2 linked regions of the Nothobranchius furzeri genome follow. The protein of the gene in region 2 purifies or fractionates together with the protein of the main gene of each other region. This does not show direct contact. Links are inferred from orthologs where the notes say so. Each region holds a gene or a part of one and is shown on either strand. Other genes may lie near its edges.

The links.
Region 1: the proteins of poc1a (region 2) and nudc purify together in Homo sapiens (co-immunoprecipitation; 3 studies listed by BioGRID and IntAct, with this or other methods). This does not show direct contact. The link is inferred for Nothobranchius furzeri from reciprocal best matches to the Homo sapiens genes POC1A and NUDC.

The regions. Positions count from the first base shown.
Region 1 is NC_091759.1:16,935,692-16,939,979, reverse strand, and holds the start of nudc (nuclear migration protein nudC), read right to left. Parts: upstream 3,035-4,288; 5' UTR 2,902-3,034; coding exon 2,827-2,901; intron 2,098-2,826; coding exon 2,020-2,097; intron 1,912-2,019; coding exon 1,708-1,911; intron 1,640-1,707; coding exon 1,568-1,639; intron 1,490-1,567; coding exon 1,376-1,489; intron 216-1,375; coding exon 21-215; intron 1-20. UniProt on the Homo sapiens protein: Plays a role in neurogenesis and neuronal migration. Necessary for correct formation of mitotic spindles and chromosome separation during mitosis. Necessary for cytokinesis and cell proliferation.
Region 2 is NC_091743.1:62,509,533-62,513,351, forward strand, and holds part of poc1a (POC1 centriolar protein homolog A), read left to right. Parts: intron 1-570; coding exon 571-704; intron 705-3,819.

The sequences.
Region 1 (4,288 bases), on a different chromosome or scaffold from region 2:
GTGACTCGTTGGGGCCTTACTTTCTCCAGGTGGACGGTAACCACCTTGCCATCATCTAGGAGCCAGGAGCTCTCCTCCACCTTCACTTCGTTGTACAGCTGGCAGTCGATAACGGGTGGGTGACCCTTCAGGCCCACCTTGATGGAACGCCGCTGGATGTCCACCACCACATCTCTTCCCTTGATGCGGAACTTCACATCAAAAGGCACCACCAGCTGTTGGAGAATTTCCAAAATTCAAAAACGAATGTCAAGCAATAAATAAAAAGCTGCAAGATGTGATCACTTTGGTCTGTATGCATGAATGTAGAGATATGAATGAAGACCTAGAAGTGTTTACATTCTAGGGCTGGGGGTAAACGATTATTTTTAAAACGATTATTCTGACGATTATTTTATCCAATAGTCGACTATTCTAATGACTATTTACACAATTAATCTAATGATTATTTTTCTATTGCACAGTTAATAAAAACCAGAAAATCTCAAATTCCTCAAAAAAATTGATAAATTCTTACTGTAAGAGAATAAACACTACAGGCCTTCCATTTTGTATAACACTGCGTTTATTGTGTTGCGGTTGGTTATGTTCTGGTGACGTGTAGAACTTGGGAGTGCAGGCTGCTGCCTGAGAGGTGGTAGAAGATGGAGTGTCTCCATGCTGCTTTGTTTTGGTCACTTATGTGCGTGAGGCGAGTGGTCTTACAGGTTAAACCAAACTCAAGGTGATATTTTACACTAAACCGAAAACCCACAACACTCTAAATGTAATAAAAGGGAGATCTACACCACAAAAAAGATGAACTCTAAACCAAAACGTAACCGCTTATCCCAACGCAAGAAGCTGTTAGCGAAGATGCTAACAGTAGCTTTACCAACATTAAGTTCAAGTTACCAAGTTTAAATAAACCAAAAACACCCAGCAGCAAACAGACCAGCACGGAGGAGAGACTGCTACCACCAAAACAGCTCTCCTCATGTCTGAAAGAAGCTCCTTAATGAAGGGAGAAACGCTCCCGGTGATTTTCTACATCTGCGATAGACACGAAGCAGCGCGTCTGACCCCGGAAGTTGTTGTCCGTTGCCGGGAGACGAAGGCGGGCAAAACAGGAAAGGAATCTAGTAGCGGATGGACGTTGTTCCGGGTCTTCGGTATTTGGCGGAGATGTTAGTGAAGGCGGAGAAGAGGGCGAACTACAGAAAAAACAGGCAGATTCCTCCTCTATTTACAAACTCCTGGGGATGCAACAAGTGGGCGCGGTGCGTCGACTTCCGGATCTGACGTCGACGAATTTTTAGAATCGAGCCGTCGACGTTGTCGAGGCTTCGCTACAGCCCTACTACATTCAAACAAAAACCCAAACTAGACAACTCACGTCTACGTCGGACAGAGTTTGTGTCCACTTGTAGTTTGGCAGGTCAGCACCGTTTCCTGAATTAGGCTTCAGCTTATCCTTATCCTTCTCGTCCTCCTCTCCGTCAGAGTCAGACTAAATAAAAAAAAAGACAGATCAAGTCGGGAAAAGTTCATTTTACTGCTCATAAACACCTCAAAGTTGTCCACTCACCCCCTTCTCTTTCTCAGCCATCTTTTCTTCAACTGCCGTCACATTCTTCCGCTTCTCCTCTTCCTCCTTTTTCTATTTTCAACAAATAAATATGTCATTCTGTTCTAATGTGTCAAACTATTAAAGCATCCAGGTTCCACCTTATCAAGCTCAGACTGAAGCTTTTCTGCCTCTTCATCAGTCAGCTCCTGAATTCGTGGCCCATCTTCATGTTTCCTCTCCTCTTCTGCAAGTTTGGCCGCTCTTTCAGCTCTGTCCTTCTTCTCCCTCTCCTGTTTCGTCTGCTTCTCTTTGTGAGCCTTTAGAGCCAGCTTGCTGTGGTGATCAAAGGAATCCTTGACCAGCTGGAAGGGATAAGAGTTGAAAATCGGAAGCAAATGAATAAATGAGGTTATTTCTGCCAAAATCATCCCAGAGGCCTAATAATAATAATAATAACAATCAATATTCACCTTCTCTGCAGCTCCTGCATCCCCACCAACAAAGAAGTCAGTTTTGCGTCGTAGAAAGCTGAAGAATGTATTTACTAACTTTGGGGGGGTGGGGGGGGGGGGGGGGGGGGGGGAGAGAAGCAAATTTCTCATGAAAATTAATCGTTAACTTTCTACAGAGCAAAAGTAAGATGTTGTCATGGCTAAAGTGGTCTGAATAACATATGTCCACACTCTGCAGATATTAAAATATTGGCATATTGTATAAATCTAAAACCCTAGAATGTTTTTTCTTATGGATTTATTAATTAAAACAAAGAAATATCAGTATTATAACATATTTGCCTAAATTCAATTCAAGCACTCCCAAGGCGAGTTTTAAAGACTACCCAGAACTGTTGATTTATACATGAAAAAATACTAAATGATTATTTCAGTACTTTGTCTAATAATTGTAAATATTATAAAGCTAAAACCAATGTCAGTCATTTTCAAGCACTTTCAAGGACTTAATAAAACCTTGAAAATTGATGTGGCATTTTCAAGCACTTTACACTTCTAATTGTTTTCTAGGCCCTTCAACGTGAAAAAGCTTTACCTCTACGTATTTTTAAGCCAATTAATCAAACATGCATAAAACGTGTTTAGATTTTTCTGCAAAAATCTGTCTTCACTCATCTTGTACAAAACAGCAGCAACAAGACATTTGGCTATCAGAATGTTTATGAAGGCATCAACCTCCAACAGGAACAATGCACTGCGTCGTCCGCGTGACAGACATGTTAGCTTAAATACTAGCATAATAGCTGTAGCATCACGCTGACTTACCTCTTGTACTCCTCCTTCGTGCTGTTGTGCCATGACGAGCAGCATCCCGTCATATTTTTCCTCCTCGTCACCCATAATGATCTTGGTAGAAACGTTCACTATTAGCCACGCTACTAAAAAAAAAGATAGCTCTTCAATAATGAGAAAACTCGTTGTCACACTTAGTTCCTGGAAGCAAGCCACGCCCACGGTTTACTTGACCAATAGAAAGAAGAAATCGTAGATGACAAAAGAACTGTCCAATTAGATGAGAGCATTGGGTAAAACGGGACAGAGGCGTGAGAATTTTCTAGAGAAGAGTCACGTGATTGTAAAATAAACTGAGATTCTCATGAAAAAAAAGCTACTTCAACTTCAGTTATTGGTCATAAAAACATGAACTGTAAAAGAAATAGGTAAATATGGAAAACATCCAAGAAAAAAAGAAATCGAAATCCAATTAATATCTAGTTTGTTTAAAATCTGCCCTAACCGTGGGGTTTGTGATGTATTTAACCAGAAAGTAATGGCTGGAATAGCATTATTTTAATCTCCATCTTTAAAAACCTCTAACATGCTGTGCTGTTTCACACAAGGCAATGCAGGTTTGGATTTTGTTCTCTCCCTAAACAATAAAAACCATCATTTCAAAACTACATTTTGTGTTTACTTGTGTTATCTTTGACTAATGGTTAAATGTGTTTGATGATCAGAAACAGTTTGTGTGACAAAAAGGCAAAAGAATAAGAAATCAGGAAGGGGCAAATAGTTTTTCACACCAGTTTTTGATGAGCATTTTTAACTCAGAAGTACCCCTGAAGGAGTAAGTTGTTCAAAACTTATTTTGAGCCTGAGAGGGTAAGCTTATTTCAAAAATACTATGCTCCAGCCTCCTGTATTGTGCAATAGTATGCATGTCATTACATGCCTCTCAGACTTCCAGTATTTGAGCAGTACAAAGTAAAATGAGCATTTCTGTTGTGTTTTTGTTCCAGTGTAGATTTAAGAACAGGAGTGATGTGTTTGGTTTTCTTGGATCTTGTTAAGACTCTAGCAGCAACATTCTGAATAAACAGCAGTTATTTCGCAGCTTTTTTGGGAAGACCAGTCAAGACCATTACAGTAGTCCAGCCTGCTGGAGATGGAACGCATGAATGAGTTTGTCTAGGCCTGAACATGAGACTTCTGAGTCATGCTATATGGTGAAGATGATAAAATGCTGATCTAGTTATAGCCTTAATGTGACCAGTAAAGCCGAGGTCAATTATGACACCACAGATTTCCAACCTGGATCTTTGTTTCTATCCCTCTGGAGCCAAGTTGAGCAATAACGTAGCTCCGACCTTTCTTAGTGGCCTAGTGGGAGAGTGTCCGCCCTGAGACTGGGAGATCAGGGTTCAATTCCTGGTCGGGTCATACCAAAGACTTTGGAAAAAATTAGACCCAATGCCTCCCTGCTTGACACTCAGCATTAAGGGGTTGG
Region 2 (3,819 bases):
ATTTCATTTAAATGACAGTAAATTGGGTCATTAAGTGCTTTCAAATATCATTTGAACAAATGAATAATTCTATAACTTCCCTGCCTTTTAGATCATTTATTATTAACTGATGTGGTCACATCGATAAACATTGACTCGCTGCCTTCTAGCTCGCCAAAAGATTGAAAGCGGAGTGTGTGCACAGTAAAAGCTGTGGAACGAACAGTTGACTTGTATCTTTAGTTATTATTCTATTTTCTTTAACTTTCTCATAATTTGATTAAAACCATTTCTTTTGTTTAGCGTTTCATTAATCCTACGGTTGTAGTGTTTGTAAAAGTTCACATGCTTTATTTTCAGCTGCAGTTTTGTCTTTTATAACTTGAAATCCTAATTAAATTTTCTGTGTTATAAGCTGTCTGAGAAGCTCTGAGAGACTGCAAAAGCTGCTGTTATATTCTGAAATCATTTTTTAAAAATCCAGTCATTTTATTGTTTTTTTTTTTCACATTCAGAACAGGTAAAGCTGTAACTGACGCAGGATTTGTGTTTGAAAAACAACATTAAATGTTTGTTGTCTGTGTCTTCCAGTTCACACTGGTATGGTGAACACTTTGTCTTTCCATCCTGCTGGAAACTTCCTGATCACTGCGTCCAGCGACTCCACAATGAAGATACTGGACCTTGTGGAGGGCAAGCTATTGTATACACTTCATGGACATCAGGTACACACACACGCACGCACGCACACACACACACACACACCACAAAATCCAACAATATTCTATTTTTAAATCCTACTGTTTCGTTGACATGACCAGTAAAGGTGAAGTCTGCTCTGTTTTCCTGTGTGTGTGTGTGTGTTTGATGCCTTTTTTGTGTATTTGGTGTTATTTTAGTACTCGGCCGGCGAGCAGGCAGCCCACTCATGATGACTCATCTTAGGATTGTTGGAAGGAAACAGAACCATGTTTCTGCCCCCATTCCTTTGGTTCTTCTCTCTTCCTGCTCCTACTACCTCTAGTTTTGTCTTGCTGTTGTTCTCGGACCTCAGCCCAGCTCTCTTTCCAACTTCATCTGCATTTCCCTTCCTGCGTTTGATCCTTTCACCTCTCTTTGTTCCACATCTGATGAATTCATGTTGCTGGCTGGACTTGCTGTCCTGACGGCGCACTGACTGTGTCTGTTTGTTTGAACAGCTGATGGACTGGCTTGCTGGCTAGTTGTGGAAATCGGTGGCTTGCCAATACCACATGTGGTCCGTCTGTTTATCTATCCCCCTGCACATGTTGTCTGTCTTTCATTCTGTCTTTTGTCTCTGTCACCTGTATTTCTCTCCTGCTTGCTTGCCAAAAACCACCTCTTTGTCGAGCTGGGAGGGGGGGGGGGGGGACTTTTGTTTCCTCTTCTCTCTTCCCACCTGCAGATTTGTCTTTTTCTGCACTTTGTTTCAGTGCCTGTTGTTCTTTTTGGCTCTGTGGTGACACAACCAATCTGCTGGTGCTGGGACCACTCAGAGTGTTAATTGGCTCTCCTGTCGCCTAGCTAGAAAGAGGAGAGCCCCCCCATCTGTTCAGCATGGGCGTGTAGGACAATGTCTCCACACACGTGTTGTGCTGTGTATCCGTGTTGAGTCGTGTGCCTGTACTTGTATGAAAACACAAGTGATGATGGACCTGATAAATATGTTGTTTACTCAGCCTCAGGAGGACTTTAAAGAGCTGGGTTTGATATATGATGAGTAAAGTAAAAAAGAAATGGAGGTTTTAAGGCAAGGCTGTGTGGAGTACTTCTGTGTAGTTGGTGCCTTCAGTAGACGGCAGTCAGTGATTACACATTAAAGAACCTTGGACAAATTTTCATAGAGGACTCACCCCGGGAAGTCTTAGCCTCCCAGGCTGCTGCCTCTGTGACCGGACCCTGGATAAGCAGCCAAAAATGGATGGATGGACTCACCCCGGATTTCCACTGGACGCGTAAGCATCAAGTAACGTAATAGACGCACTTTCCGTGAGCTCAGTGCGTTCCTTCCCACAGGGAGCATTTCAGACATGAATCCAGAGTGAAAAGCATTCCATGCAGTCAGTTCTGCAGCATCATGAATCCCAGGAGAACTCTAAGAGCATGCCACACGCGTGATTTTGGCAGTTCACGTAAAAACAAGCGAGAAGAAAGAAAGCTGCATGTATCCACAAAGGTCTGTAGTTTATGCACTCGTGTTTGACTTCCTGTTTGCTCTGATCTGAACTGAACTTGACGCATTCTGGAAGTGTATTGCATAAAAAATACTGCGCTTCTGGGATGCTTCCATAGTACACCACTTTGCAGTCATTGAAAACATACACACATATCTTCTTTAATGGCGGCTAATTGCTGGCCTAATACTACTGGCCTAGAAATCTAGACAAACCGTAGCAGCTGAAAAAAGGGTTTTCTCTGAACATTGGTGTAGCCATGCTCGATAGGAGCGCTACAGTTCATCGTGTGTGTGTGTGTGTGTGTGTGTGTGTGTGTGTGGGGGGGGGGGGTGTAGGCTCAGGAAGCCATTCATTAGCTGATTAGAGTGTAACACCTTTAGTCTAGAATATTGAACCTTTTCACAATGTTCTAATTGTCTGAGTTTGAATTTGGGGTTTTCATAAACTGTAAGCCAAAATGAGTATAACGAATAAAAGCTTGAAATTACTTGCTTTGCATGTAATCAGTCTATTTGATGTCATTTTATTAGTTTCCCCTTTTAAGATGGAATACTGAAATAAATGAACGTTTTTTCAAGTTTCACGTGCACGCTTCGCAGACGCTAGGCGTCACTTACCTGTCATCTAAATCTCAATTCAGATTACAGAATTTTTGTTGTGGGTTTTCTTCTTTTGCCCCTCCATCTTTGCATCAGATGGCATTTAGTTCATGGTTTGCAATGTGCTGTTGTTGCTGCAAACAAAACTATTAAGCAAATCCAAAGTATCCAGTTGATGCTAAATAAATTCTTGAATTAGCTTTTTGTTAATGGTTAGAAAATCTTCAAAGGTGGGGTACGACATGGGTTTTTTGAAGCATTTTGCCATACTTCTTGAAATGCTCTTCACATACCAATGGCAACCAATAAATTAAACGTTTTGTCAAAAAACTAATAGTTTATTCTCCTGTGAAGCATACGATCACAGACCGTGATGCCGTATGGGACCTGTCCACTTTCTGTGATTATTGTTCAGTCATCAGTAGGCAAAATAAGCTAGTTGTGTGTGTGTGTGTGTGTGTGTGTGTGTGTGTTCATAGCAAGTGCCAGCGCGCATTAGTCAGAACAGAGACAGAACATGCTGTCGGTCAGACTGTCGCGTTGCCATAGCGACACAGTCTGCTTCTCTCAGGTGCTTCTGGGAAACTGTCCTCACCCAAACCAACCTATCTGAGTTCCAGCCACAGGACACAGTTCTCCTTTTTACCTCTCAGCAGCTTATGTGGTCATTTCTTTTTCTTCTTTTACTTTTGAACAAAATTTGAAGTTTGTGAAGTAAAATAACAAATTTCTCGAGTTTTAACCATTTCTCAGTGCAGTCCTGTTTCCTGTAGGTCATCTTGATTTTGGCTCTTACCACAACTAACCCCACTCAACCTTTGTCTGTTCTTTTTGCTGAAAATTTTATCGATTGCTCAGCTTCAGCCTGACACACACATCCTCCACAATCTCCCACACACACACCCACACACTCGGGAGCTTTTGTTCTCATCATGCTTTTTTGTGTGTGTGTGTGTGTGGGGGGGGGGGTGATAATTCGGGACTCGCATTGACTTATGAAAGTATAAAAAATACAGATGACTTAGAATAAGGGTCCAAAAATA